Linked DNA regions of Ovis aries. The protein of the gene in region 3 purifies or fractionates together with the protein of the main gene of each other region. This does not show direct contact. Links are inferred from orthologs where the notes say so. Each region holds a gene or a part of one and is shown on either strand. Other genes may lie near its edges.

What was found.
Region 1: the proteins of SLC7A1 (region 3) and HS2ST1 purify together in Homo sapiens (co-immunoprecipitation; 3 studies listed by BioGRID and IntAct, counting the BioPlex papers as one, with this or other methods). This does not show direct contact. The link is inferred for Ovis aries from reciprocal best matches to the Homo sapiens genes SLC7A1 and HS2ST1.
Region 2: the proteins of SLC7A1 (region 3) and STX4 purify together in Homo sapiens (co-immunoprecipitation; 3 studies listed by BioGRID and IntAct, counting the BioPlex papers as one, with this or other methods). This does not show direct contact. The link is inferred for Ovis aries from reciprocal best matches to the Homo sapiens genes SLC7A1 and STX4.

The regions. Positions count from the first base shown.
Region 1 is NC_056054.1:64,003,539-64,013,646, reverse strand, and holds the start of HS2ST1 (heparan sulfate 2-O-sulfotransferase 1), read right to left. Parts: upstream 4,647-10,108; 5' UTR 4,259-4,646; coding exon 4,135-4,258; intron 1-4,134. UniProt on the Homo sapiens protein: Catalyzes the transfer of a sulfo group from 3'-phospho-5'-adenylyl sulfate (PAPS) to the 2-OH position of iduronic acid (IdoA) or glucuronic acid (GlcA) within the heparan sulfate (HS) chain and participates in HS biosynthesis.
Region 2 is NC_056077.1:27,670,771-27,680,793, reverse strand, and holds STX4 (syntaxin-4), read right to left. Parts: upstream 6,127-10,023; 5' UTR 5,842-6,126; coding exon 5,812-5,841; intron 5,625-5,811; coding exon 5,523-5,624; intron 5,410-5,522; coding exon 5,310-5,409; intron 5,175-5,309; coding exon 5,100-5,174; intron 4,598-5,099; exon of another isoform or gene 4,373-4,597; coding exon 4,302-4,372; exon of another isoform or gene 2,665-4,301; coding exon 2,556-2,664; exon of another isoform or gene 2,485-2,555; coding exon 2,408-2,484; exon of another isoform or gene 1,842-2,407; coding exon 1,704-1,841; exon of another isoform or gene 825-1,703; coding exon 531-824; 3' UTR 164-530; downstream 1-163. UniProt on the Homo sapiens protein: Plasma membrane t-SNARE that mediates docking of transport vesicles. Necessary for the translocation of SLC2A4 from intracellular vesicles to the plasma membrane.
Region 3 is NC_056063.1:31,273,172-31,283,179, reverse strand, and holds part of SLC7A1 (high affinity cationic amino acid transporter 1), read right to left. Parts: intron 8,428-10,008; coding exon 8,253-8,427; intron 6,125-8,252; coding exon 6,003-6,124; intron 5,498-6,002; coding exon 5,275-5,497; intron 4,576-5,274; coding exon 4,436-4,575; intron 1,990-4,435; coding exon 1,887-1,989; intron 39-1,886; coding exon 1-38. UniProt on the Homo sapiens protein: High-affinity, low capacity permease involved in the transport of the cationic amino acids (arginine, lysine and ornithine) in non-hepatic tissues.

The DNA.
Region 1 (10,108 bases), on a different chromosome or scaffold from region 3:
AAAAGAATCTCTGATTAGTGGAAAATAATGGAGTCCAAAATTTATCCAAGAAATATGAAAACTTAATATGTGACTAAAACAAGAACTGTAACATAGAAAGGAGGGAAAAAAAGATGAATTATTAATATAATATTTGCCATAAGTGGCCATTCACTGAGAGAAATTACAATAAACATATGATGCTTTAAAGAGCTAAACATAAAAATATAAGCTGTAGAACACTAACAAAATATAGAGAATAATAACATAATCTTGGTTGGGGGAAGACTCCTCAAGCAATGCAAGGCACCTACTTGCCTAAACTGAGAGATTTGACTGCATAAAATTTTTAACTTCCATACACCATAAAGTCAAGGGACAAATGACAGACCTGGAGAAAAATAGATGCAAGACACGACAGATAAATGATTACTACACCTAACATCCTTTTCAAACCCTAAAATTGGTAAGATGAAATACTACCCAACAGACATGAAAATGAACCAGTAAATTATGTTCAACTTAATTAGAAGTCAAGGAAACATAAATTGATACAACAACATACCATTTCACAGCTTTAGAAAAAAATTAAAAGCTAGCAAAAATTAAAAGCTGACAATATCCTGCACTTGTGTGTATGCTGACAGTACAGATTATTATAACCCTTGGGAAATAAATTTTCAGGGAAGTAACAGATTTTAAAATCTGTTAAACTACAATATATATATATATATCTTTTGTCTCAGTAATCCCTTATTAGAATTTATCCTACTGAAAATAGTACCAACAAATAAAGAATTAAATAAACTAATATAAGCATGTTTCTTGTAACACTTTTATAATACCAAGAAATAAAACAGTTTTAAAAAAAAGCGTTTAAGGGGGATAAACTGAGTGTTCATTATTGACATAATGGCTTAAGAATTTATGACTCATGCATACTGTGGAATGTTATACAGCTATTAGAATGAGTAAGTCAAATTTATATTTTTTGACCTGGAAAGATGTTCTGTGACATTAAATGAAAAAAGCAAGATGCAAAGCCAGTATTACGTATACTGTCATTTAATATTCATTGGAAAAAAAAATAACTCTATTATGAGACACTGGTTTTTAGGAATTCCTATTGATATACTTAATGATGTTTAAGGGTTTTTTTAAGCCATAAATGCAAAATGTAATAAATTTGACAACACTTTAAGTCAAAATTCTGTGTGACAGATGACACGACTAAAGTTTCTGAAAAGTGAAAACTGTGTAAGTTTTTCTGATGGCAAAATAAAAATGCTTTTATTGTTTGTGATTTTACACGTACAGAAAACGACAATCTTTTTTTTCCCCCCGTAGCAAAAGTAAGCTATCTATTTCAGTCCTTTCATTAGATAATACAATTATGTTCATTACATGGGTATAAACAAGCAACAGACATTACACTAACCTAATTCCTTTGTGTCAGAAATTGAATTTTCTAAGAATGATATTCATTCTTAGCAATAAATGCAATTAAACATTGGTGCTAGTTTAAAAATTCTATTCAAACCACTACATCTTAGTGTAATGTCAATATAAAGTCCCATGCAGCCTGGTATAATTAAAGGGGAACTTGATTTGAAATCAGACATACCTGGGTTCCAATACTGACTTTGCCACTTATTAGGTATGTAGTCAACTTATATAACTTTTGAACTTGTTCCCACATCTGTAAAAATGGCTTTTTTATGGTGTTCTTGGAAGATCAAATAAGAATAGCAAATATGAAAGGGTCTAGTACAGAGTCTGATTGTCAAAATATGTCTCCTTCTATGTTCCTTTCCTAAGGAAGATTACTGACATCTGCTTTAATACAGGCCGTTTCATAAGACTTTTTTTAAGTCAAAAGACTGCTGATGTGAAGCTATACATTTTATTTGTCATAATTTTACATCTGGAAAAGAAGATGGCAACCACTCCAGTACTCTTGCTTGGAGCATTCCATGGACAGAAGAGTGTGGCAGGTTTACAGTCCACGGGGTCTCAAAGAGTCAAATATGACTTAGCAACTATCACTCACTCAATTCCACATCTCTATTATTAGCTCCTTCTAGCTTTTTGTACATTGGAGAAGGAAATGGCAACCCACTCCAGTATTCTTGCCTGGAGAATCCCAGGGACAGAGGAGCCTACTCGGCTGCCGTCTATGGGGTCACACAGAGTTGGACACGACTGAAGAGACTTAGCAGCACCAGCAGCTTTTTGTACGAGACTCCTTTTCAAGAATTATTTCATTTATTCCATATTTACTATTTCTAACAAAATGTAAGAGTTTCTTTCTTGTAAAAAGTCTTAAAGAAACATGTTATCTACCGAGCCACTACCTCTGGCTTCCTACATTTTAAAAATCATTCAGGTTGTGCCTACAGAAAACAATTTAAATTATTATGGGAAAAAATGTTAGACAAGGAAGGAAAATTAAAATTTGAAGTTATCCCAGCCACCATAATATGTATAAGAAATTCAAAGAGCAATACAACAAAGAATAAATATAAATTTTAATTTAATATAACTTTCAACTTTCTTGAGGAGGAGTCTTTTCTTTCTGTAAAGCTGGATCATTAACCAGACTAGAATATGACCATGAATGCTGCTAATCGGGTACAAACAAAAAGAGTATACTGGCCAACCTTGAAAATTTAAAGTGAATATTTTTCCATCGTATACTATACATATTAATAAAATCATAGAAAATAAATTTGATATCTGTTCAAAATTATACAGGGCAAGTTTTACCTTAGAGTTGAAGAGTGGAATTGTCCCTATCTTCAAATTTATTTGCACTTGTTAATTTATTTGATGTTCTTTGATAAACTGCACTTTAAAATTGTCTCCAGTGCTTTTTTCAAAGTATCAAAATTGCAAATGGCTAGCTACTATTTGTAATATTACACTTATTTTCTGATAGATTTTTCCAAAACATTAATCATCACAGCAGCATACGTTACTTCTGAGTCTAAATTATAAAGCTTCTATTTTATCCTTTGCATTTCAAAACTTATTTTAAATGATGCGGCAGTTAAAGTGTATAAAATACACTTACTAAACATTATTTTCCATATCCAAATTACAGCCTCTTGGGCTGATTTTTAAGCGCCATGTACATTTTAAAATCAAAATGTATTGCTGACATTCTTTTAACACTCCCTCCCCATTCACTCTTCCCAAATGCCACAGTTCCTTACTGCTCTGAAAGTACTTGTCTGTGCATTCGTCTGGTCTTTCACAACAGCACACTCCAACATTTTGTACTTCAGATCACCCCCCAATTAAAGTAACATCTTTTAACTCTTTAAGGTACTTAGCCATACGGTAAACTTGCTGCACTCTTCCTCTCGTTAACTTTAAATTTCATTATAGCAATTCCCCCTCAACGTTTCCTCCCCTTCTAAATTCACTACACCAACATTGCCGCGAAGCAACATGCACATACAACTCCTTTCTTAAGCTCAAAATACCAGTTTAGCGCCACTAAAAAAGAATTTAAATGCCTGGTTACCTCGTTTCAGAACCTCTTGCGAGCTTTTTATTTGCTTTTCTGTCCTACCTGGACAGTCTATTTCTCTCGTCAGTTGCGCGGTCCCTTGCTGCCCCCAGCACGAGTGCAACTCACTACAATGTATTTCTTTTACACACCATCATTCCAGTATCTCCCCTCCATTTCAGCCCATCTGTCCCTTCGCGAACCTCCCCATTCCCAAAAGATTCAGTATCCAGGTGCCCACATCTCAAATTAGAAAACCCCCTGCCTGACACTGCTGGAGCTTTCCGTTTGACTTCCAAGAGAACAGGCAAGCCTGACCGTTACGGTCTCCTCCAACTGTCGGTACTGACTCCCCAACGAATTCGATATTCTCTTGCTTTCTCCCCGTGAAATGCCTAGTTCAGGGTATCCCTTTGGCTCGGGAAAGTCCAACCTTGCAACCTCTGCCCCTTGACCTCGTGAGCCCAGCATACCACCCAAGCTTAATTCACACCAAATGAATTCGGCTTGTGTTCTCTTTCAGCCTCCAGCCTCCAAGCCAGATATCAGGTTAGATAAACGCCCACTTGCTTGGCTTGCAGTGCCTCCCCAGCCTGGCCCCTTCCACACACCACTCAGCCCGGAGTGACCCGGCTCCTCACCTAGCTTCGACCGGGACTCCTCCAGTTTCTGGATCTGGTTCTCCAAGAAGAGCATCGCCACCGCGAAGGCCACCACCGCCAGCAGCTGCAACTTGGGCGGCATCATAATCCTGAGGAGCCCCATGAAACCCGCTGCTCGGGATCAAGACATACCGCGGGGGGCGGGGATCGGGGCCCCGGGGGCGAGGGAGACCCCGGGAGGAGCCCACGGAGCCGGGAGAAAGGCAAGAAGAGCGCGACAGCGAGAGAACCACTGCAGCGACCCCCCTTCTCGCGTCCCCAGTCCCCCGCCCCCAGGCGCCAGCAGCAACACCGCCGGTGCCCGCTTCTCCTCGACCGACTCCACGGCCGACTCCCTCCAAAAGCCCGTGCAGCAAACACAGAGCGAAGCAGCTGCCGGGCTCTCGCCTCCTTTTACTGCCTCAGTCCCCGACCCCCGCGCCCGCCTGCCTAACCGCCTCCTTCTCTTCCTTCCTTCCCTCCCTCCTTCGCTCGCGGACGCGCGCTTCTCCGCCAGCGCTGCGGCTGCGGCTGCGCCGCCCTCGGCCCCGCCCCTTACCCATCCCTCTCCGCCTCCACGCGCACGCCTCCACGTACGCTGCTCGGCAACCAGAGGCTCCGCCCTCTACTCCCTTTCGGTTGAGCTTATTGGGCCGAAGAACTCCAGCGCTTCGCTCTTGGTGCGTGTCACGGTTGGTTTCCTTTGCCGTAGGTGTCAACCAAATCGGCACTCGATTGGGTAAACTTGGAGAAGGAGGCAGGCCGAAACTGGCGAAGGCGGGGCTTCTTGACTGCTTAAGGAAATGTCGTGAATGAAAAGAAGGAGCCCGGGAAGCACAGATTTGAGGAGTTTAGGGAGATGCCTGATGTGAGTTAGCGAAAGGACCCAGTGACTTCATATTTACATCAAGTGTAAAGTTTTTGCTCACCTTTAAGCTTACATATGCCCGTAGTTAATGCCCGTCTCCTCAGAATAAGAGGCTTGATGGCAGCGGCCTTTAGCTGCCTGTTTTGGATCAGGCACTGGAGTAGACGCCCCTAGCAGAGGGGTCTTCTCGGCAGCCGGAGACCTACGGAAGGTGGCGGAGATGGCGGGCCGGCCGGATGGATGGCTTGGCCCGGCGTTTGGGCTGCGACTGCTGCTGGCGACCGTGCTTCAAACGGTGAGTGGAGGTCACCTCTGCTGCAGCCCCAGGGCGAGCGACAGGGATTGCGCTAAGGAAGACGGAATATTCGGTCGCTTTTGGGAAACACAGCTGAAACGGGTGGGCTCCCCCAGCGGTTGCTGCTGCTGGCGTGCGACGTGGCTTTATTCCGCGTTTGAAGATTATCTTTCCCCACCCTGGGTTTCTAGCAGTTCCTTCTTCTGACCTGAGACTTTCTTGAATACAGTCTGTAAGACACACCGTAAAAGCGAGGGGTGAGGGGCGGGAAAGGCACTAAGTTTTGCAAAGAAATGAAGATTGTTTTTAAATTAGCAGAAATGCAAGGAACTGTCGTCTTTATGACAAAGCTTCCTTTCAAGTCTTAGAGGAAAGCCCTCAAGTCTTTGGTCCAGGGTACACTTCCTTTTTACTTCTTTTTGTCATTTGTTTGTGGTCCCTGTAAGTCACTCTTAGTCTTTTACCTCTGTTCTCTGGCACTCACAGGCCGCTGGGTACACCTCAGTATCATTTGTGGTTTTTAAACAACTCTGTTGCAATAAAAGGAACTACGCCATACTAAAACATAATTTATTCTTGAAATTGATTTTCTAAAATGATAGCTTTCATCTCGCTTAAAATCGATCGTTGTCTAACCAAGTTTTTTTTTTTTTTCGTTTTTATCCATTAACAGAAGAGATACCTTCTTTATATTTGAATGGGAAGAGGCTAGTTTCGACTTATTTTCCTATTCACTCACAAACGACTTATTATAAGTTTTTAGTTCGTTCAACTGTGAATAATAAAACTTTTTAATAGGCATCATACTTGGAGTTTTTACAAGTGTCTTTTATCAGCCTAATTTTTCAAGTGTTCTCTGTATTGAGTCTGCTGAGTATTCTCCTAGAAATCTGGTTTGATTAATTTATTCAAGGTTTGGAGGATTGAGGGTCTATACGGAAGGCCTCCGCAAACACCTGGGCTTTTCTTTCATTAAGGAGTTTAAAGATCTTGCCTGTTTACTTTTACAGCCTTACATAAAAGGTGGATTCTTCTCATTAACTTTATAATACTTCATTATTCAGTCATTTGGTGCCTTAGAAATTATTGGAAGACCCCTATCTAAACTTTGTACTCAAGAATTTTTTGTCAGTCTTAGATAATTTGTATTCACCACCATGAAAAGATAGAGTAACATTTCAAGTTGACTTCTTCCGATCTCATTAGCTCTTTAACTGTTTGATTATCTGTGGCTGTGTAAGCACCCCCTATAGTGGCTTAAAATAATGATTTCTCATGATTCTATGTGTCTGTTGAGCAGTTTCTGTTGTTGATTTCTTTTGGTCTCATTTATACCTTCGCTGGTGCCTTTCGCGTCTGTGTACAATGTGGGAAACCTGGGTTCAATCCCTGGGTCATGGGTTGGGAAGATTGCCTGGAGAAGAAAATAGCAACCCACTCCAGTACTCTTGCCTAGAAAATCCCATGGATGGAGGAGCCTGGTGCAGGCTACTGTCCATGGAGTCGCAAAGAGTCAGACACGACTGAGGGACTTTACTTTCTTTTCTTTTATAAGGTAAGGATAATACCTCCTCTTTCATAGGAGGATAAGATTAAATGAAATAATGATGTGAAGTGTTTAGCAACACTTTACAAAGTATCTGGTGCCTTGTAAGAGCTTGTCATTATGGCTTGTCATAATGTTTCTGATACTTGTTTTCTTGGGGCTAGTCTGTAAACCCATGTATTTACTTTTATCTCAGATTTGAGTCTTTTCAGAATTACTATGTGAGAACCCTGTGAGTTTTCTGAGTAAAGAGACAACTAATCATGTGAATGTGTAAGTGTAGTAAAATGTATAGCAATACCAGACTTTTGCCCAAAGGGGTAATGTTGCATTATAGTTATTACAACTTCTCCACCAACAACCCTCATGTTTTTAAAGAACTCAATAACACCAGAAAAATAAATGAATAACGCATAGTCTCTCAGCCTGTCAATCCTACTTAAAATTGGAGAAAGTTGTAAACTGTTAAGTAGTTACCCAGTCAGGGTTATCCCACCCTGTCCTTAAAATCCATGTCTTTCTTACAAGAGTGGCTAATTATTATAAAATTTAGGGGAATTCCCTGGTCATCCAGGCCTCCGTGCTTTCACTGCCAAGGGCGCTGTTCAGTCCTTGGTTGGAGAACTAAGATTCCATAAGCACTGTGGCAGAGCCAAAAATAGTAATAATAACAGTAAAACAAAAAATAAAATGTAATATTTGACCTTACTGTGTACGTTTAAATGCTATTCAGTTAGTTTTATGTAATAAAAAGATGGGTGGGTGTAATTTGTAGTTGAACTCTCCTCTATTATTTAGCCTTTTGTCATAAAGTGCTTTAAAATATGTTCTGATGTTCTTATTTGAGTCAAAGCCTCAAGTCTGGAAAAAATGAATTATGGTAGAAAAAAAGATTCATTCATGAAATTAACGATACCTTCTATCTCCCCTACACTTACCTCTAACCCATGTCTATTATAATGATTTAAATATAGAGTGTTTTTGTTTTCACAGTGGAAGGAATAATTCTAACATTTATTAAGTACTCACTGTGTACTGGACAGGATACTACATGCTTTCAGTACTTTTTCTCCTTTAATCCTCCAAACTCTGTGCAGTGAAGTGAAGTCGCTGAGTCGTATCCGACTCTTTGCAACCCTGTAGATTGTAGCCCACCGGGCTCCTCCATCCATGGGATTCTTCAGGCAAGAATACTGGAGTGGGTTGCCATTTCCTTCTCCAGGGGATCTTCCCGACCCAGGAATCGAACCCACATCTCCCGCATTGCAGGCAGGCACTTTAACCTCTGAGCTGCCAGGGAAGCCAAACTCTGGGAAGTGAAGTAAGTGGTAATTAATCCTGTTCAGGAGTAAGGTTGCTCTGAGTTGGTATTTGAATCAGGATGTCATCAGACTCAAGTACGTTTCGCATGTTCACTCTACCTGTCAGTAGGTGCTCAGTCAATGCCAGAATAAAACCAAGGATTACGATCCCATGAGTTTTCATTAGAGATGCTTGTTTTGTAAAACATGCTTTGGTAACAGTTTCTTACATTTGTTTAGCAGTTCACTGTTTCAAAATGATTCCGCTTTTATTGCCTGTTTTAGTTACCATGGCTACAAAACAGATCACCTGTTCATTTTAACCCAGATTCTTTGGGTTAGCAATTCAGACAGGCACGACAGCGTGACTGTGTTCCACCGTGTCTCAGACCTCAGCCTGAGACTAAAGAGTAAAGTATGAAGGCTTTTTACTCACACATCTAGTAGTTGGTGCTCTTTGTCAGCTGGAGGCCTCAGCTGTTCTCTGCATGGGCCTCTCCACATTCTCTCTATAGTTTAGGCTATCTTACAGCATGGTGGCTAAAAGGTGAGTATTTTAGAGAAACAGAGACGCAGCACCTGCAAGCCCTAATCAAGCAGAGATGGCTTCCTTTTTTATGGCCTACCTTCAGAAATCACATAATTATCACTTCTTGACACCATGTTTGTCAGAATAGTCACAAGCCCCTGCCAGTCACATTTGGGATGATGTATATATTTTGGTGTGGCCATCTTTGGAGAAATAGAAATTAACCTGTGAAATAGATCAAGCAGATCACTTTACAAGTAAAGAAACTATTCAAAGTATTAGTATAGGAGCAAGGGTCTTAGGTCCCTCTGGCTAGACTGGTACACTTGATCTATTTTGATACATTATGATATATACTGTCCCCTATTACTTACATAAGGTAAAGGATGTTTGTATAAGGTATCAAATTAGGATGTTGACTTAATGTAAGGCCAGTGGGATGATTAGCATTTTGGAGGAGTATGCCAGCAGTAGTTAAAGTTTTTTTACAATGAGATATGCCATTTGGTTTTATCAACTTGTTTAGTTAGCTGGTGGGCCAAATCCAGCAATCCTTGTTTTTGTAAGTGAAGTTTTATTGGAACACAGACATACATTCATTTATTACTGTGACTGATTTTGTGCTACAGTAGCTGAGTTGAGTAGTTCCAACAGAAACTATATAGCCACCCAAGTGAAAGTGAAGTTGCTCAGTCATGTCCCACTCTTTGTGACCGCGTGGACTATAGCCCACCAGGCTCCTCTGGCCGTGGAATTCTCCAGGCAGGAATACTGGAGTGGGTTGCCATTTCCTTCTCCAATAGCCACCCAAGCCTAACACAATTACTATGGGACCCTTTACATAAAATTTGCAGACTCTTTGTCTAGGAGATCAATGCGTTACAGTCAATCTGAAATTCCCCCTATTTGAGTCTGTGGTTTTGACCAATTCATCTGCTTAAAACATCTGAGAACTAGCATGTGCCTGCATGCTAAGTCGCTTTAGTCATGTCTGACTCTTTGCAACATTATGGACCGTAGCTTACCAGACTCCTCTGTCCATGGTATTCTCCAGGCAAGAATACCGGAGTGTGTTGCCATGCCGTCCTCCAGGGGATCTTTGACGCTGGGATCAAACTCCCATCTCTTAAGTCTCCTACATTGGCAGGCAAATTCTTTACCGCTAGTGCCACCTGGAAAGCCAAGTGCTGGAAATACAAAGAAATAACTTAATGCTTGCCCTTAAGAGAGTTCACAGTATTATTGGGGAATCAAACAATCATAGGTTTACAGTGTCATGAGTGTGCTGTTTTATAGCTATGCATAAATTTCTTAGAAAAGATAGTGGCTAAAGATTGAAATCTGCTTTTTCTCAGAGAAGGCTTCCTAAGAAAACTGATACTGATCAAGTACTTGGATTAAGTAGAATTTAACAAGGTGGAAAGGTATAAAAGAG
Region 2 (10,023 bases), on a different chromosome or scaffold from region 3:
AGTAAAAGGGAGCTGCCAGCCTGGCGTGGTCACCTGAGACAGTCTGATTTGAGTCTGTCTGCCTGGGCTGGGTCTGTCCTCCAGGGTGGCTGGGAGGTGGAGAGGCTGGACACCTGAAGGCCCTGGACCAGATTTTTCAAGGACACACATGCACAGGGGAATCTCCAAGCTTTTTTTTTTTTTTTTTAATTTCTTACAAAACCACGTCTCTGCCAAACAGGACACTGCAGGCCTTCCCCCAGGCACTGTGACCCAGGGGTGAGGACCCCATGGATGAGTGGCTGCCGACCCCAGAAGAACTGTCTGCCTCTCTGCACAAGGCCACTGTGAGGAAGGGGTCTGGCTGGAGGCTCTGTCCAGCCCATCCCCAGCTGCTGGGAGAGAAGGCAGACCCTGGGTCCCTGGTGCTCTTAGTGTCTGCAAGGGAAGGTGGCAGAAGAGGGTCTGAGAGGAGGAGAAAAGGCTGGGGTCGGGTATGGGGCAGGCCAGGGGGCAGGCCCATGGTATCTCACCAAGAATATGCGGTGCTGTCAAATCAACGAGAAGACAATGATGACCACCAGAATGAGGACAGTGATGGACAGACAGATGGCAATAAAGACTTTCTTCTGTGGGAGAGGAAGAGGGGTGGGGGGGTGGGTGTCAGGGAAACTCAGGAGTGGAGGGAGGGCCACCCAGGGGGAGGGGTGGCGGGGGGAAGGGCGGAGGCTCACCTTGCGCGCCTTCTTCTGGTTCTCCAGCGCCACCTTGACATGTTCCTGCCCACGTTCCACATAGTCGGCTGAGCTCAGAATGTTCTTCTCAATTCGGTTGATCATCTCCCCCTGCTCGGAAGAGGAGGCGGTTCAGGCAGGAAGGAATGACTGGAGGCGGAAGGCCCAGCAGCTCCTCTGCCCACCCCAACCAGAGGACTGAAGGACACTCCTGGCAGAGAACGGTGCACTAAGGAAGAGGTGGACAGGACCGCATCTGCCAGAAGTCCACACGCCTGGGGATGGCTTCCAGGCTCCCTCCTACCGTATGCTCCCTTCTGTCCTGCGCCCTCGCCCCATACAATTTCTACTCGCAGTGCTGGCTGGGAGCGGAGCACCTTGACTGGCTCACAGAGGGTGAACTTTTGTCCCCTCGCAAATCTGTCTGAAGTCCCTTGTTCTTTAGGCCTGTCTCCCAGCTGCCGGAAAGCCCTCCCTGTCGCTGCCTCCTCATGGTACCACCAGGCTTCAGATCCTGGACTCCTACAGAGTGAAATCTCTCCCTCAGGACTCCCAGCTGCAAAAGGGCACTGGGGTCAGCTCCCCCCAGATGGGGCTGGAAGCTCCCCTTATCATGAGATAAGGGCTGGGGGAAGAATACCACCTCCCACCCCATCCTTGTCTACATTTTAGGAGGCAGGCCCCTCTAGGGGGCAACTAAAGAGCTCTTAGGTGCGTAAGAATGGATTCTGTTGCTGGAGGAGCCAGGGTTGGGGCCAAACGTGGTGTGGGCTCCAGTTCAAGGGATGGGGTACAAGGTATAGAGCAGTAATCATCTGAGTAGCTAAGGATGAAATCTGGGAACACGGCTAAGGATGGAAGTAAGGGCCAGTCTGGAGGGTAACAAAAGCCCTGGTGAAAGGGGCTAAGTGTGGAAGCAGGCTGGCAGTCAAGACACGCTCTCACATCTGGGGACTGGGTCAAGCCCAGCCAGCGGCCTCAGGCACCCACCTGCATCTCCACTTCAGTGGCCAAAAAAGTGAAAATCTCATGAAGTTCACGGATACTGCGTTCCAGCTGCTGGATCTCGCTGTGTCGGGCCGAGATCTCATTTAGGGCCTGTCGAGTCACTTGTGTGTCCTTCAGGATCTGCAGAGTGGACAGGAGCGATGGGACAGGTCACAAGGAAATCAGCGGCACGTGTAGAAGTTCCTGTTCAGCTTCGGGGCAGCCCTCGGGCCTAGAACTGGGGCCCAGGCCTTAATGAGGGATGCCAGGCAGGCTAATATGTTCCATTCTGGGCCTCAGGATTCCCTCCATGAAAAAGGGCCAGGAGGGCTTCCCTGGTGGCTCAGTGGTAAAGAACCCGCCTGCTAATCCATGAGACACCAGTTCGATCCCTGATGGGAGAAGATCCCACCTGCTGCGGAGCAACTAATCCTGCACGCCACAACTACTGAGCCTGTGCTCTAGAGCCCAGAACCACAACTACTGAGCTCATGGGCTGTAGGGCCTGTGCTCTAAGAGAAGCCACTGCAAGGAGAAGCCCATGCACCACAACTGGAGAATAGCCCCTGCTCGCTGCAACTAGAGAAAGGCCTGCACAGCAACGAAGACCCAGCACAGCTGAAAATGAATAAATAAAATTTTTTTTTTTTAAAGGACTCAGAGAGGATGGGGGGCCCAGCAGAGGGAGCCTGGTGGCGGCCACTCACATTGGACACAAACACCTCGCTCTGCCCGCTGTCCAGCATCTGCTCCAGCTCCTCATCAGACACCATTCCAGCATTTGCTGTGAAGGAAAAGGCCAGGCTCAGAGCCGGTTGGGTCAGCTGACCCTGTGTGCCGGGCACCACAACTCACTGATCTTCAGCTGCCTCCGAATCCGCTCCACGTTCTTCTCCCGGTATTCAGACTGCATTAAGTTGCACTTGTTGATGAGCTCCACGAATTGCTGGGACAGGACCCCGTGCTAAGGAGGGAGAAGAGAAGCTGGGGACCCCTGGGAGGATCCCTGCCTGGTCTGGGCCTCAGCAGCCCCTTGGGTACAATGAGCAAAGAGCATGAGCTCAGAGGTGCCTATGGCCTTGACCTCCTTGAAAGGCTCCCCTGGTCTCTCAAAGTAAAAGCCAAAGCCCTTCCCAGGGACTACAGGGCCCTACAGGACCCGCCCCTTCCCACATTCCCTCTCTCATTTTACGTCCCCACGTCCCCACGCTGTCTCCCTCACTCCTTCCCTCCAATCACAGTGGGCTCCTGACTCCTCCCTGGTCAGAACACAGCCCCACGTCAGGCCTCTGCAGTTGCCATTTCTTCAGCCCAGAATGCGCAAGCCCCACAGAAGCCTGGAAGTCTTTGTTCCAATGTCACCTTCAGAAGTTTTCTCCACCTTGTTGGAACCTGCCTTCTCCCGCTGTTCTCAATCCCTCTTCTCTTTTCCCTTAATACTTCTATTTCTACAATAATTGACTAATTTATTATGGTGACTCTCCCCACTGGAATGAAATCTCCATGAGGATAGAGATCATTTGTTGACAGCTGTTTCCTAAATAGCTAGAAAAGGGTCTGGCATACAGTAGGCCCTCAAAGAATATTAGTGGAATGCTTGCTGAACACCAGCCTCCCTGCTTAGACTAAAGGTGTGCCAGGATTTTGCATTTCCCAGATTTTGCAGGCCCACCTGGGCACTCAGCCTCTCACACAATGACTACCACAAGCCCCCCACCCCCTGTAAATGCCTTCCCTGCTTGTCCATTTTCCTGATGCCTAAAATCTGCTCATTCCTTGGAGTTCCTTTCTCCAGGACACATCTGCTGTCCTGGGTTCAGTTGCACCCTTTCAAGATGCCCAAATTGTGGGGGGGCAGTTCTTGAGGCACTAGCCTACTGTGTTCCCCCCTTTGTTTGGCAAAGTAATAAAACTACTCTTTCCTTCTCTTCCATTAAAAAAAAAATCCCCAAATTGTTTAATCTTCAATCTGGGGTCTTTGCTGATTTCTGGGCCCACCTACTCCAACTCTGACCTCCAAGAACTCCAAACCATGCCTCTCTGGGCACCCAGAGGACACTGCTCAGACCATTTCAAATCTCCTTATTAAGATGATGATTCAGTGACCTTCCCCATACACACACACCAGGGAAGTTCCTCTTCCTGACTTGAATTCTGTCCTTGGGGCAGAGGATGTCCTCATCACATGGGTAGGAAACCACCCAGTCACTTGACTGCACCCTTTTTTTCCCTGGGCAGAGCCATTAACTACCAAGTCCTACCTGAGTAATGTCTTTGTCATCTATGCAAGCTTAACTCCCCATCTTGGCTTCTAGAAAGTATATCTCCTACAACCAAGCCCAGATCATGTCTGGGGTCTCAGCAACTTCTCACTGAATGGAGGAGAAGAAGGCAAGGTGTTATAACAGATTGGAAGTCAGGAAACCCGGGTTCTTGACCTTGGGGTAAATCCTTTTTTATCTCTGAGCCTCAGTTTCCTCATTTGGAAAATCATCAGGTTGGATTTAATGATCTCTAAGAGCCCTGCCTTCTTACATCTGCCATCTAATGATCTATTGAACACTTGCTGAAATGTCCTACTTCTGGGAATAATGAACCCACCTGGGTTTTTCTCATTCTTGTGTTGACGGAGTTATAATTCTCATCAGCTTCCTCCTTCTGGGGCTCTATGGCTGTGGAAAGACACAGAAGTATTGGTAGAGGAGGGGGTTTGACCTCTGGCTTCTGAAATTCATTTGGGGACTGGGACCCAGCCATGCAGCCATACAATAGAGAGAGATACAATATCTCCACAGAGCTTTTTTTTTGAAATAAAATTCATCATAAATGACTACTCTTGAGCCTCTGACAGGCAAAAGTATATTTTTCTTTGCAATAAATACATCAGAGAATTCCCACATGTTTGGAGAAGCTTCCTAACAAAACCCACATCTTCCCACCCAAAGAATACACACTGGGCAGCAAGAATTGTAGGAGTACAGATGATCCTTGCACAACTGTGGGTCCACTTATACCTGAATTTTTAGAAAATAAATGCATACTACAGTACTACACAATCCATGACTGCATGAATCCACCCTTGCAGAACCTGGGATGTGGACGGCAGACTATACAGTTATATGCAGATAACGACCTGAAGGTGGAGGTAGCAACGCTAACCTCTGCCTTGGACAAAGATCAAATGGACATGGTTTCATTATAAATAAGGGAACTTGAGAGGCAGGCATATGCTGTGGAAAGAACTTTGGACCGAAAGCCAGGAGATGGAGATTCTAGACGTTGGCCTGCTGTGTGACCTGGATATATATCACTGGCCTCTCTGGACCACACACTGCCCAGAAATACCAGGAGTTGGGCAGGATCAGAGGAAAGTATCTGGCTAAAGTCCTAGGAGCTCACCCTTCAGCTGCGCGCGGATGTCCCTCCCTAGCTGTTTGATCTCGTCACGCAGGTTCTGCAGGTCCTGCTTCATGCCTAAACAAGAGAAAGCCATGATGCCCAAATAGCAACCTCTACCTCAACAAATCTCCCTGGCCACCACCTGTGTGGAACTACAACCCCCACAAGCCTCCAGCTGAGCATGCGTTCTGCACCCGGGGTTTCACTCACTCTCCTCGGGAAGGGGCGTGGCCAGGATGGTGACCTGCTGCTTCTCCAACTCTCGGACTTTATTCTCTAGCTTGACGATAGTCTGCCGAATTGTCCGAACCTGGGGACGATGACCGAGAGGGCTGAGGGAGATGTGGGCGCTGCTCCAGGCTGCTCTGCTCCTCGGGCCCTCCAGGCCCCTCGTGAATCCAGGCCGAGACTCCAGCCTCTTACCTTCTGGAAGAACTCATCGTCCGGGCTCCCCAGCCGTGCAGTACCCGGGTGTACCACCAGCGCGACTCGCTCCTTGTCTTCATCGTCCGAGCTGTCATCCCCCTGCCAGGGCCGGGGTCACTGGCATCACTTCCTTGCTACTGCTCTCCCCCAGTAGAACTCACGGGCTTCCGGGACTTTCCTTCCTAGCCCACAGTCATCCCTCCCGGCCCCGAGGACCAGGAGTCCTGCATTCCAGTAGACCCCATCCCGTCCACCCGTCCCCAACCCTGCTGCGCCAAATTCTCACCTGCCTCAGCTCGTGGGTCCTGTCCCGCATGGCGGCCCGAGATCCCTCTCGCCGGCGCCGGAGCCCGGCGGGCCTCAAGATTCTAAGTTTGGAACTCCCGTACCCAACTCACACTCTGACACTCCCCTCCGCCCTCACCCTGCAGGCCCCAAACCCTCCCCCAAGAGTCGCTAGAGGCTCTGTCCCTGGCACCATTCACAGTTTCAAAGGGAAGGAGCCGACCTCGGGGACCCCCAAGATTCCACAGGTTGGAATTCCCTTTTCTTTCCCCCCGCCCTCTCCTGTAGCCTCAGCCCCGCCCCCTCTGGAAAGACTGGAGCATGCGCACCGGATCGCGTCCCTTCCCCACCCCAGGGAAAGGCCGAGGTCGGAAGCTTCAGCGCCCCGAACGGAAGCGAAATTGCCAGGACGTGAGAACCCGCCCCCTTTGCCGGAACTATCGCATCTTCCAGCGGAAATCTAGTTGCCAAAAGGGGTGGGAATGCGTCATTGGTACGTGATCTGTGAGGCCCTCTCAATTCGCATCACCCCATAGTGCAAACCCCCCCGCGCGCGTCATGTGACCGGCCTGGTCCCAACCTCTCAGACCACGGAACGTGACGCTTCGACTGTCACATGTCTCTGCCCTGTCAACTCCATCTCTGGAACACCCATCTCCCCACGACGTCCTCGGCACCCCGCGCGCGAGTTACCTCTCTTCAGAACCCCCGCGAGGCGGGGAGGGGGCGCTGACTACCCCCAGAGACAGTGGGTGGTAGGACCCAGGCTGAATCCGGCTTCCTTTCTTTTGGGTCCGCGAGTGTGGGCAGACTGAGGACTTAGAATTTGGAGCTGTCAACATCATGAGACCTTGAAATTCAGAAAAGAATAAAATACAGCGTCAGAGACTTGCGAGATTTTGTAGGCAGAGCATCTGGGGGTGGGAAGTGACCTCACCCGAGGCGGAACTCTCTTCTCCCGCATACTCCTGGCACAGTTTCTGACAGGTGGGCGGCTGGCTGGCGCCCGGCTTGAACACTGCAGTCCCGCTGCACTCACCACCTTTGAGCAGGGCATTTCAGGGCAGCTCGGGCTTAGAAAAAAGTCTGTTACATTGAGCAGCATGTCACTTAGACAACCCCCTCCCCAGACCCCCACCTTGCACTGGGGGTCTACCCTCTGGAACCCACAAAAATATTACATATTATCGTGGCCTGTGAGTTACTAAAGTGAGGGCATGATTGTGGACAGAGGAGCCTGGAGGGTTACAGTCCATGGGGTCACAAAAGAGTCGGACACGACTAAGTGACTAACACACACAAATTGTAGCCCACCAGGCTCCTCTGCCCATACAATTTTCCAGGCAAGAATACCAGAGCGGGTTGCCATTTCCTCCTCCAGGGGATCTTCCCAACCCAAGGATCGAACCAGCATCTCTTGTGTCTTCTTCACTGGCAGACAGATTCTTTACCACTGAACCAACTAGGAACCCCAGCACATGTTAGGCCCTCAGTAAATATTTGTTGATAGAGTCTTAGCCTCTTATATAACTGAAGATGAAGCTTATGATTCCCTGGTCTTCTCTTTTATGCTTCAGGCTTTTGGTGACACTTCCCTAACCCTAACCCTGTAGGCATTTATTCATTCAGTGGATATTTATTGTATGGGCCAGACACTGTTTTAGGGCCAGAGATATAACAGGGCAGACAAGAATGGCTTGCCCTTTTGGAACCCACCTTCTATAGAAGGATGCCCCAAAGTCACTCAGTGAGTCTCAGAATAGCTGAGAGGAATATTAGTTCTCCTGGATCCCAGGATGTCAATAGCCCGGGTGTCTCTGCCAGGGATTCCATGCTGCTACTCCTCCAGGGTCTTTCTTCCTCTTTTCATCTCCTGAGCCCCACCGTGCACCAGATCCTTGCCAACTCCTGCCCATCTCTCATGTCTTCACTTGGATCTAACATACCATGTATTTTGCTAATTTGTGTTATCTATTGTCTGCCTCCACCCCTCCTCTCCATCCTACTAGAATGTAAGCTCCAAAAGGACAGGGATTTTCACCTTAATTATTCACTACCATGTCCCCAGCACCTGCAACACTGCCTGGCACATAGTAGCTGATTAATAAATATTCATGAAGGAACGAATTTTTTTTTAACCACATCATGCAGCTTGAGGTATCTTAGTTCCTCAACCAGGAACCATGGAACCCAGATCCTTGGCAGTGAAGCATGGAGTCCTGACCAGTGGACTGCCAGAGAATTTCCCAATTTCTTTTGTTTTTTTAATTAATTTATTTGACTGCATTGGGTATTAGTTGCAGCACTCGAGATCTTCTGTCATGGAGGATCTTCTGTTGTGGTGCATGGACTCTCTAGTTGTAGCATTTGGGCTTCTCTTCTGGTTGTTTGGAGGGCTCCAGAGTTTGCGGGCTCAGGAGTTGCCCCACGCGGGCTTCGTTGCCCCACAGCATGTGGGTTCTTAAGTCCCCAATCAGGGCTCGAACCTGTGTCCCCTGCATGGCAGGGTAGATTCTTAACCACTCGACCACCAGGGAAGTCTGCCCAATTTCTTTTTAATTGACGTTTACTTAGCATTTACTGTGTGCCAGGCACCGATATAAGTACTTAATAAAAATTTACTCATTTCATCCTTATGTACATTCTGTGAGATTGGTACTATATTACTGTCCTCATTTTACAGAGGAGGAGGCTAAGACACAGAGGCAGTAAGTAACTTGCCCAAAGTTACACACTAGCAAATATGAGAGCCAGGATTTGAAACCAGAGAGGAAGCTCCAGACTCTGTGCTCTTAACCAGTACACTATGATCCAAGAAAAACACCAGCCAGGAGTGGCTCCCTGTGTTGCACCCACCCTTGGGGGACTTGCCACCACCTATTAATGCTCTACTTAGGATCATCTGGTGGGGAGGTGGGGCCCAACGGCAAGACGAGTCTCTTCCCTTTTCCTGTCATAGGGTCTCCCTTCCACATCTGTTGGGTGGGAACAGACTGCTCGGGAGGTTGTCGGTCCTCCTCTCATTCCCTATTTGCTGTCTTCCCAAGAGCCAAGGGTTTTCCTGGTGGCTCAGACAGTAAAGAATCTGCCTGCAATGCAGGAGACCTGGGTTCAATCCCTGGATTGGGAAGATCCCCTGGAGAAGGATATGGCTACCCAGTTCAGTGTTCTTGCTGGGACTATTCCATGGACAGAGGAGCCTGGCGGGCTACAGTCCATAGGGTTGCAAAAAAGTTGGACATGACTAGAAGACTAAGCACACATACACACCGAAAACCAAGATATCCACGCATGGGTCACATAGGGCTTCTGTGTGCCCTCAAATGTCTCTGAGGCTAGTTTTGTGCCGAAAACCCAAGGGCTACAGCGATGAAGCCCCCACCACTCTCTCCTCATGATGTGTCTTCAGCCTGACCTTAATCACTCCCTAGAGCGCCACCTGGGAACCTCTTGTCTCTCATGGCTTTAATCGACATCCATATTTGGCTCCCAAATCCATATCTCCAGCCCCCACTTTTCTCCAAAGCTCTAGACCTCTGAATCCACTTGCCTTCTGGACATCCCCTCCTGGAGTTCCATGACTGTCTTAAACTCACCATGTTCCAAACACCACACATCGTCTCCCCTGAGAATCTCCTAAATTAACTTCTTGTTTCTCCTGTTTCCTTTCTGTGTGGATGACACCAGGTCACCTGTGCCATAACCTTGGCCTGGAACTTCATTCTGAAGGTGATGCATCACACAGCTGGTTAGGATAACCCCCATAAAAATGCTAGAAAAAAAAATGGACAAAATTCTTTGTAAGTCAGAATGAGGAAGGCCTTTCTAACTACAGCTCAAAATTTAGAAACTACACTCAATAGTTTATAATAACCTATAAGGAAAGAGAATCTGGAAAAAAACAGACATATATATATAATTGAATCACTTTGCTGTACAGCTGAAACTAACAAAATATTGTAAATCAAACTTCAATTAAAAAAATAAAAGCACATTAGAGAGTGAAAGTGAAAGTCACTCAGTCATGTCCAACTCTTTTTGACCCCATGGACTACACAGTCCATGGAATTCTGCAGGCCAGGAAACTGGAATGGGTAGCCTTTCCCTTCTTCAGGGGATCTTCCCAACCCAGAGATCGAACCCAGGTCTCCCACACTGCAGGCAGATTCTTTACCAGCTGAGCTACAATGGATATAAAAAAATTCAGAAAATG
Region 3 (10,008 bases):
CCATCTGGTATACTGTGTTGGGCTGCTCGGGCTGATACCTGTGAGGCAGCATATTGTTTAGCCATCAGATTAGGCTTTAACTCAGCACAAGTACACACACTCTAACTCATGTTCTTAGTAAGGCTTCAAAGGGAAGCTGCCTAGGACACAAGGCATAAAATGGGAAGAAAATGGTCAGAATGATACATGCGTGTGTCCTAAGACGCTTCAGTTGTGTCCGACTCTTTGCAACTCTGTGGACTGCAGCCCACCAGGCTCCTCTGTCCATGGGATTCTCTAGGCAAGAATACTGGAGTGGGTTGCCATGCCCTCCTCCAGGGGAACCTTCCCGACTCAGGGATCGAACCCACGTCTCTTATGTCTCCTGCATTGGCAGGCAGGTTCTTTACCACTAACTCTCCGCAAACAGAAACAGAAGAGCCCTGGGCCTCACTCCTGCCTCAGGGCAACATCCTCTTCTTTTTATGTCTCCTATTTGAGGCAACTTGACCTCCACCATGAAACAGCCCAGAGGAAGGTGCTGAGATCGTTTCTCTCACTCTGAAAAGCAGCACTGGCCCTTAAGATATGAGGCCACTCACAACAAAACTACAGTTGTAGGAAGCTAAAATACAGATAGAAACAGAAAGCAATCATATTAGGATCCTAATCCATGCAGAGAGCCAGAGAAACGTGTCTGCAGGCTGATGGATTTGAGAAATTCTATTTGCATGATTTCATTGGATCAATTTATTTAAAAACTCTAAGTGCCTTGGGATAAATAACTCTCTAAAGCTGGGTGAAGGACCAAGCCTATGGCGTGATTTCCAAGACACAAGCCACCTGCAAGTGAAGCATTCATTCTAAATGAGGCTCCTTATCTTCCCAGCCAAAAGGAACAGCGCTCCAATCTCCTCCACCAGCTTCAAAACATGCAGTGCTTTATGCATTCTTCTGCATAGAATCTAAGAGTGAGTATGAAGATACTTCACCATTTTTTTTTTCACTGATTCACTTAATAAGAAGGCTGGGGGAGACTCGGAGAAGATTGTAGCACTGAGCTCTTGGGAAGAAATATGTGGTCGGAAACACTAGCTCTAGCGGATTCTCCAGAGCCACTACTGAGGCTCAGCCCAGGGACGGTAGCTGGAGAGCAAGTTAGGGATGGAATCCATGGCTTGGCAAGATTAAAGCCCTGCAAAGTAGGGGGGGCCTCTCGCCAGGAGACCACACTGGATGTCTATGCTACCTGGGGTCACCCCTGGGAGCAAGGAAGCAGAGCCCTGTCTCCCAGAGCAAAGGAAAATTGGAGCAGGGTGAGCGTGGAGAGAGGGGCGCTGTGGCGGGCAGGAGCCCCAGGACACTGAGCCCCGGCCCGGATCTGCTGTCACGGCCCTCCACGGGGCTGGCCCTGTCCGGACGAGACTCAAAGCAGAACCTGGAGAGTCTTCCTGCACATCACCCCCAGCCCTCCAGGCCCTGTAACGGCCCTCTCACCTCCATGGAAGCATCAGTGTCCCCAGTTCTCCCAGTGCCCACTAGGGCCAGGCCCTAGTCTCCGGTCCAAACTGAGATCGTTACCCTCAGCCTTCAAAAATTCCGATCCAAAGATGCAGCCCCCAGCCATCAAGTTGATAACCTGTCTCTGTCTTCCGGACATCCAGCCAGAAAAATCAGAGCATGTGAGAGAGAGAGAGAGAGCGGTCGAGCCACCCCGGACTCCTTTCAAGGCTATTCTCTGTAACTAGACTTTCAAGCACCAGGTCCCACCCTCTCCCAAGCCGTTCCCAAAGGAATGATCCACAGCTTCAAGTTTACAGCGTATAAACCGTTAACACGAACTGGTAGCAGGAAGCTGGCAAAGGACGTCTGCTCTTCTGTCCTGGAACCCAGAAAGCCACACCTACCGTAAGACCAACACGCAGGCAGCCACCAGAGAGTAAGCCAGGAGAGTGCCGATGGACATGAGGTCCACCAGGTCCTTCAGGTCGAAGAGGAAGGCCATCACCGCTGGGGAGGAGGAGACGAACATCAGGATGGGTGTGGGCCCGAACACCGTGGCAGCCAGAGCCGCCACCCGCCCGCGACCCAGGGCACCTGGGAGGGCCTCCCCTTCCCCCTGCCAGCCCTTTCCATGAAGAAACGTGGCAGCACCGCTTAAAAGGAAGGAAAGTTCCGGATTAAACCACATACACAGCTCCCAACAGACAGTAACAATAAACAACATTTATACAGAGAGAGAGCTTTTATCAACATGACCCTGGTGACCCCCATGGCAACTCTGCCAGCCTTCCCTGCACTACAGATGGAGAAAGCCAAGTCCAGACATGTTGAGAGACTTACCTAAGTAAGGGCACACAGCTAGTAAGTGGAAAAGCCAGGCACTGAGCTAGGTTCTTACGGCTCTGGGGCAGTCTGCCTTCCTCTACACCATGCAGACTCACAGAGAGACACGCACATCTACCCATCCACCACCCATCCACCACCTACCCATCATCTACCCATCCACCATTCAATGGCTCTCATGAGCACGCCAGTCACTGGGTGCAAGGTGTACGCCGCTGAACTTTGGTCTTCCCAAGAATACCACCTGAGGCCTGCATCAGGAGGCAACAATGATGAGGAGCTGCGTGAGGGCAAGTCCGGGATGGCTGACAGGGGCTCCTAACCCAGAATATGGGCATGGAAAGTGATGGTATTCCCAAACAATACCAGTCCCTTCACCACAACCCCACTTAACGCAAAGCAAAACATGCAGTCTTTTTTGAAAATCGTTCCTAGATTTTTATAAGTGTATGCACGTCTGTTTATGGGGATATATGTGTCAAGTTTCCCACTTAAAAAATAACTTGGCTGGATCTACTTTGGGATACTTTCAAAACACATGCAATCAACACAAGTTGAAATATAAACACAAAGCCATTACTTTTCCACAAATACTTCTCAAACCCACACAAACCATGGCAACTAAAACAAATTCAAATTGAGGTTGACTAACAGAATTAAAGAGCAGCGAGGGCCTACTGGATAATCAGAAAACCCACTGCGTGTGTATCAAATGCTTACGTCCTCACTCCGAGAAACCTGAGCCAAATTTCGCCCATGGGAGGTGATTCTTAGAAAACTAAAGACTTGTATATCACTCTGACCAAATAAAGAAAAAGCAAACCCTTGGTCTGGTGATACAAGAACTTTACAGTGGCTTTAAAGACTGTAGTTTCATCTCCCTTAATCAGCACAGGAAGGAAATTAAGGCCAGTCTTCAGTACGATCACATTACATGTGAATATTGGAGGAAAAAAAGAAAAAACACTCACTATTTCCAGTTCCTTAATCCCTTAAACACATGGGTCACATACTGACACACGGTGTCCCTTAACCTGCCCACAGCGATCATGCTCGAGAATGCAGACTCATACAGCACACGTGTGAAATAAGAAAAACTGGCTTCCTTTCGTTAAACAACATTGACCCATAAAAGTAAGCACATTTTGCTAAGGGTGTGAATGCTGTTAACAATTCACTCATCAAGAGGGTCAAACGCCTCCCCTGTGGCTATCTGACAAGTCCCTGTGATCCAGCTGTGGCTGGCACGTGTCCTCATTCACCACAGAGACCTCCTGCTCCACACATGGGCTGGGAGGGCCCAGCCAGCCTGGCCCCAAGACAAACCAGGAACCGAGAACCACTGCTGTCCTCCCTGGGCGTGCATCCTCACTTCCCCCTTCTGAGCCTCCGCCTCTCCTCTGTGCACCTGCCTCTGGGCGGTGAAACGCGACTCAAAGAGGAAACAAAACCAAGGGTCTCTTTCCAGGGCTGCCCTGCCTTTCAAGGTGCACACAGAGGCCCAAGGGTTCCCCAGCCCGCCGCTCCCTTCTGTCCTCTTGGCGAGGGACCTGATAGCGATCCGTCAGCTCCACCTCCTCTCTCCTGCCATTTGTTGTTCATAGGCTCAGGGCGGAGGGCTACCCCAGACACACCCTCAGTGTCCCCTGGGGAAGAGGTGGCATGTTTTATAAAACGCTGATCGTAAGGGATTCTCGCTTCCTAGAGAATTCACGAGCTAAGACACACGGACGGTGAATTTCCAGCACCGACAAGACAGGGGATATACTGTGAAGGACTTTACCCCACCAAGGTCTACTCAGGGACACCTGGGGAAGGGGCAAGACACAGCTCTGAAGGGACAGTGTACATGCCGAGCTCAGTCCAGTGAGACGGTAATCACTGGAAAATGCGACCTGTTTGAGAATTCCATTACATCCTCTGAGAAACTAGCATTTGCCTTTTGTCAAAAGGCACTCAGTTACCTTGCGACAAACCAGACTCCAAGGGTAAAAACCAAACGTTAGAAAGACCAGTCGCAACTTCTCTCAGACGGGCACAGGCCAAGACATTGCCTTAGGGAGTAATAACTCAGCCGTTAAAATGCTGGATAGGAGATTCCAGTTCTTACCGGCAATGGCACCCGAGGTTAAGGTGGCGATTATCGGTGTTTTGGTCCTGTCATTGATTTTGGCCAAAAATTTAAACAGCAGCCCGTCTTCAGCCATGGCATAGATGACTCGAGGCATGGGAAACATGGAACCTAAAAGACTAGATGGGAGGAAAAGCGAACTGCGTCCGTAAGAGAGCTTGGGAGAATAAAGGCATCGCAACAGGTGTTCACACCCAGGAGAGGGAGCCGGCTCCAACCTGGGAGGCCCGCGGCGCGACACGCCGGGCCCGGGGGAGCGCTTGCAGCAAGTCTGCACGTGTGTGTGAGTGGGAAACGCCTAGCGTAAACCAGCGTGGCATCTAGACACAGTGCTATGGAAGAGATGTTCTGCGTTTATTCCCGCGATTATCTCCAGCTGAATCAAAAAGAAAAACGTCACTGCCTTCATGAAGATCTCCCTGAAGTCCACAGCGGTTTCCTGTGTGTACAGGCTAGCAGGGAGCATGAGAGCAAAGTGACTCTCATTAAAAGGCGTTTGCGGCACTTGCTCCTTTTCAATGGTAGCCTCTGCTTTATGGCCAAAATAAGGGCCAGAGGCAGTGCTCACAGAGGTGGCCTGGTCTGGCCAGTGGCCACAGTCAGGGACAAGAGACGCAGCCCTTGCTGAGCCGACAATGATGAAATGTGGGCCTCAGGCTATTGAGATGAACGTCCCTAACGCAAAGACAGCCCCAGGGATTGATCGAGAGCAGCCCAAGGGGAGAAGTCCCACGATCGGGGCTGGGTTGGGCTCTACTTCAAGGGGAGAGAGGAGTGGTCACGGCACACCCGCCTTCCCGAGCGTCTCTGCCCCTCACCTGGTAGACAGGGCGCAGAGGGAGCCAACGGCCACCGCATACTTGGCTCCCTCCCAGCCCACGTGCTTGAAGGCGTCTGGCAGGGGGCTGTCCTTGTCCAGGCAGAAGTAAGGCATCATGAGGGTGAGGGCGGCCGACACCCCGAAATAGGCGATGAAGCAGATGAGCAGGGACGCGACGATGCCCACGGGGATGGCCTTCTGTGGGTTCTTCACCTCCTCCCCTGCAAGGCGGGAGGAGTTCAGCCGGAGGGCTTGAGACCACCCTGCAGCTCATGGCCCTGCAGGGCCAGGGCCCTTCCAGGCTCCGGGGAACCCAGGGGAGAGGCCCTCAGACCAGACACAATACCCAAGGGCCCAGGGAAGGTGCTCTCAGCCTTTTCGCTGAGAGTCATCGTGGAAAAGAGAACACACTGGAGGCTGGAGCCCGGCCCCCTCGAGTGCCCGGACAAAGTCGGACTAGGTAGCCACACTCCCCCGGAGCGCACATGGGGTCTGCCGCCAGCTGCAGCCACGGTGCCATCACCCCGGGCCCACACGGGACAGGCAGGCAAGTTCCTGTCGGGCAGGCCACTTGGGGAGCAATGAAAGGGGGATTGGCAGGAAGGTGCAAACCCACACTCGGGCACTCAGGAGCAAATGGGCAGCGGCAGGCATGCACACACCCGGGGGAGGGGAATCAGACGCCTGGCCAGGCGAGCCCAGGTGTCCCGAGGGCGGTGGACCTACCTGTGGTGGCGATGCAGTCAAAGCCCACGAAGGCATAGAAGCAGGTGGCTGCCCCCGACAGGACACCGGAGAACCCGAAGGGCATGAACCCACCGACACCGGGTTTCCCTTCCTCTGTGTCACTGAAAGAGAGAGCCTCCGTCAGGGTCACAGGCCCCTGCTTCGTGGGCCTGAAGAGGAGCCACCCTGACGGCCACCCCGAGCAGCTAGGCCCAGTCCTGCAGCGTCCCCCGTCCGGCAGGACAGCGGCCCCGGGGCTGTGGGCAGACGTAACTCCAGGACCCCACTGGTGGCCAAGGGGCCAGGAAACAAACACCTCTCTGGCCAGAGGCCAGCGCGGGTCATCACCGCAGGGATGCAGAGCACGGGGATGGCCAGCGACAGGAAATCCCATCAGCTGGCAGAAACAGTCTCTTCAAAACAGCATGAATGCCCTGTGTCATGCACCAAACTGGGACAACCCTGAGGGGTGGCATGGGGAAGGAGGTGGATCCAGGATGGATGGGAGAAACACACACACCCGTGGCTGATTCATGTCAGTGTATGGCAAAAAAGACTACAGTACTGTAAAGTAATTAGCCTCCAAATAAAATAAATAAAAAAAAAAAAAAAAAAAAACCAGTAGAAAGGCTAAATATGGACAGACAACCAGGAGACAGGAGGCGCCCTCTCCGCTCAATTCTTCACCGGCTCACAGTGACTGGTGAGGGGGCCCGTGAAGCTTCCTGAGTCGACTGGGTTACTCTAAAACATATTTCAAATTGGCCCTACTTCGCCATGAATTATCGGGCACTGATAAATTTGGCACGAACAAGACCCAGGAATGCTGGGGAGTGACTTAAATTTAAAAGCTCTCAATTCTCTGTAGTCACGTTTCGTCCCAAAAAGGCAGGCTCTTTTTGTTTGAACTGTTGACCACAGGGTGTTAGAGCTAGTTTCACGGGTTCGTTTCCTGCCTGCGCTCCAGTTAGTGAACCAGCTGCTGATAAGTGCCTGCCCACGGAGCAGGCCATTGGAGGACACGCCGGGCACCAGGCCTTAATCAGAGGTCAACCCAACATGTGACCACTTGGCTTTCCGGCCTCTCTTGCAGCTGAACGTGGCCCCCTACTGGATTCTGGCCAGGGGGATGTGGGCAGGAGGAACACGTCTTCCGGATCTGAGCGCACGGGCCTCGGACTCTGGCCCCTGGTGGGAGAGCTGGGTCATGCCTGTGCCCACCCACAACCCAGCTCTGACCACACTGTGTCCTTGGGGATAATGGGTCAGCGAGTCGGGCAATCGGGCCCCTGAAAGCCTGCACGTGTCCATGCTGGCCAGCCACCCCCAACTGATCATTCCTGGAGCTGAGATATCCTTGTAAAGCCACTGCATTTTAGGATGATCTCTTCAAAGCATCAGTTTAACCTTTAGCCACAATTAAAACAGAAATGTAAATAAAATTAGAACTCCCCATTCTCCATCCTAAGACCCTAACATGTATCAAAAAATCTGACAACAAAAAAAAAGGTCAGAAAGATCCACTCCAACGTTTTGCTTTTGTTTCCCGAAACAAGGTGAGCTTGTTGGTAAGGGCGTGCCCAGAGGCCTGCAAAGGCACAGGGTGGAGAGCTGGCCGGTCACCTGCTTCCAGCCCTGGGCGTCCTGAGCCCAATATGGAAGGACACTGAGGCCATGGCATCTCAGGGCTGAAGCGGCCCACGTGGAGTGAGAGTGAAAGGAGTTGTCATCATCACGCTGTGATAACCTCAGTTGTTCTGAGAAACTACTCTGAAGAACACCTGAGATAAAAAGTTCTACCGACCTGTTTGTTCAAGGTGATCAGATAGGAAGGCATTTCAAAAGAAAGCAGCATCCGTGTGGAACCGCAGAGGAAAATCTTCCTTTCCGAAAAGGAAATTCAGAGTTCCATCATCAAAAAGGATACAGGGAAATAGGGACAACTGAGGGAGCCTGACCTCGGTCCTCACCGAGGCAGGGTTGGAATCAGCATCCAGAGATGCCGCTATTCCCCCAGCATCTTCCTATGTCGTACAACCGACAGTCAAATACAAGGCAAGAAAACACAAATTTCAGACAAAGGAGACACCCTCAGCTATCTGACTGCAAAAAAAAAACAGTTCAGTAGTGACAAAATATCCTAGCTCAAATTACATTTTTTAACAGAGACTGTTCTGGACTGTGTTGTGGTAGCCAAGGTCCGCCCCAGCCGCACCACGCCCAGGCGCCCAGAGTCAGAGGGACACCCACTTGTTCAGGCAGAGGTGACCCGACGTGTTCTGGAAGTCCTCCTCCGTGAGCTGCCAGTTTTTAATTGATCCTTTCACAAACCCCGACACCATGATGAAGCCCAGCACCAGAACGTTGACACACGTGAATATTTTGTTGACCATGGCTGACTCTTTCACACCCAGAGTTAAAAGTCCTGCAAAAGGGCATAGACAGAAACGGCCTCAGTGCTGACCTCGGGCCAGCAAGTCCCTCTGGGGTGGGGGTTGGGGACGAGAAGGTGACGTTAGAAGAATCTGAGCAGCGTTAAACCTCCAAAGAGGAACGAGGCTGCAGTGACTCTCATCCTAGAGGCAGGGATCAAAACAACCCAAGTCCACGGGGTGTTGAACAAAGCCATCAGGGCTGGACTTCCAGCCACCTTGTGGAATTGAGACAACAACCAGGAGCACCCCAGGGACAGCAGGGCTGGGGACGTCTGAGCCAATGGCTCCCCTCAATAGCAAAGCCCTCCCTGGGATGAAGGGAGGCTCTCCCTGAATCTCCATCACTGAGAACCACCCAGTGGGTAGGAGTTCATTTCCTCCAAGGAGACACTCTGTTCAGTGTCTTGAGAGAAAAAAAGAGTTCTCTAGACATGGAATCATTCAGATGCTCTGTGGGGTGTTAGCAGTGTCCGCAGCGACAACCACCTGGGGGCCCTGCCACAGAGTCCCCTTCTTGGGACTCAGTGCACGTAGCACGTCTGAGCCAGACCAGCTCTACCTCGAAAACTCGAGATAAAAAAAATACTGGGTGAAAAAGCACAGGTGACGCTCCGCAAGCTGCAGGTCCGCCTTGGGGGATGCAGGACACACTTCTGTGGTGCACCCTCGGCCAGGGGAGCAAAGAGTCAGGGAGGCGCCCAGTGGCACGGGGCCACCGATCTGACTGCGTGTCTCTTACGCGTTCTAACGTAAAAGATGCTCTACGTCATAGACTGATTTCTGAAATACAGGCATTAGAAGGGCGTGGAGCAATTCAGGGAACACTTCACACTCCGCGGTGTTTGTTCTTCAGCCTCCCTCCCTCCTGTCCTTATGAAAATCTCACTCGTGAATACTTAATTTCTGATCTGTGTTCCTGCTAGCTGGACCAGACATACCGCTGAGACTGGCCCTGTGCAGAACGATCTCAATTACGTGTGTAATTAGGTGTGTAAAACAAGGCACCGATGCTTTTAAAACCCATCCAAAATCTTCTAACCTCAAAAGAAAATTTATCTGCATTTAAGCTTAATGTGTACATTAACAAAACTCCCAACTGGGTGGCAGAGACTCAGGTCAACATCACTAAGAAGAAGATACCATCAGCTGTGTTCAAACCCTGTCTGCAATTTTAAAATTCTGTACCAGCAACTTTGTGGGGAAACTTCATGATATAAGGAGGTGTTTTGCTGGCTGGTTGGGTGCAAACCACCTCAGCTGTCTCCAACCCCAAGGTGCAGCGAGCATCGGGCCTGGTTCCTCCATGTCGTCCTGGCTGACGAAGGCCAACTCTCCTTTCTAAATGGTCATCCGCTGAGTCAGAAGAACTTGTATTCCTGGGTCACCTGTACACAAAGCCCGAAGCCCTAACAAAATCCTACTTCACAAACACTTAAAGCAAACACCTGAGAGTCTCTTTTAATTAAACAGCGCATAACTTGACCTATTCAATAGGCCAACCCTCTGCGAATCTCTGAGAAGCCATTTTGACAAAAAAAAAAAACAAAAAACACAACAGATGTCTGCATCAA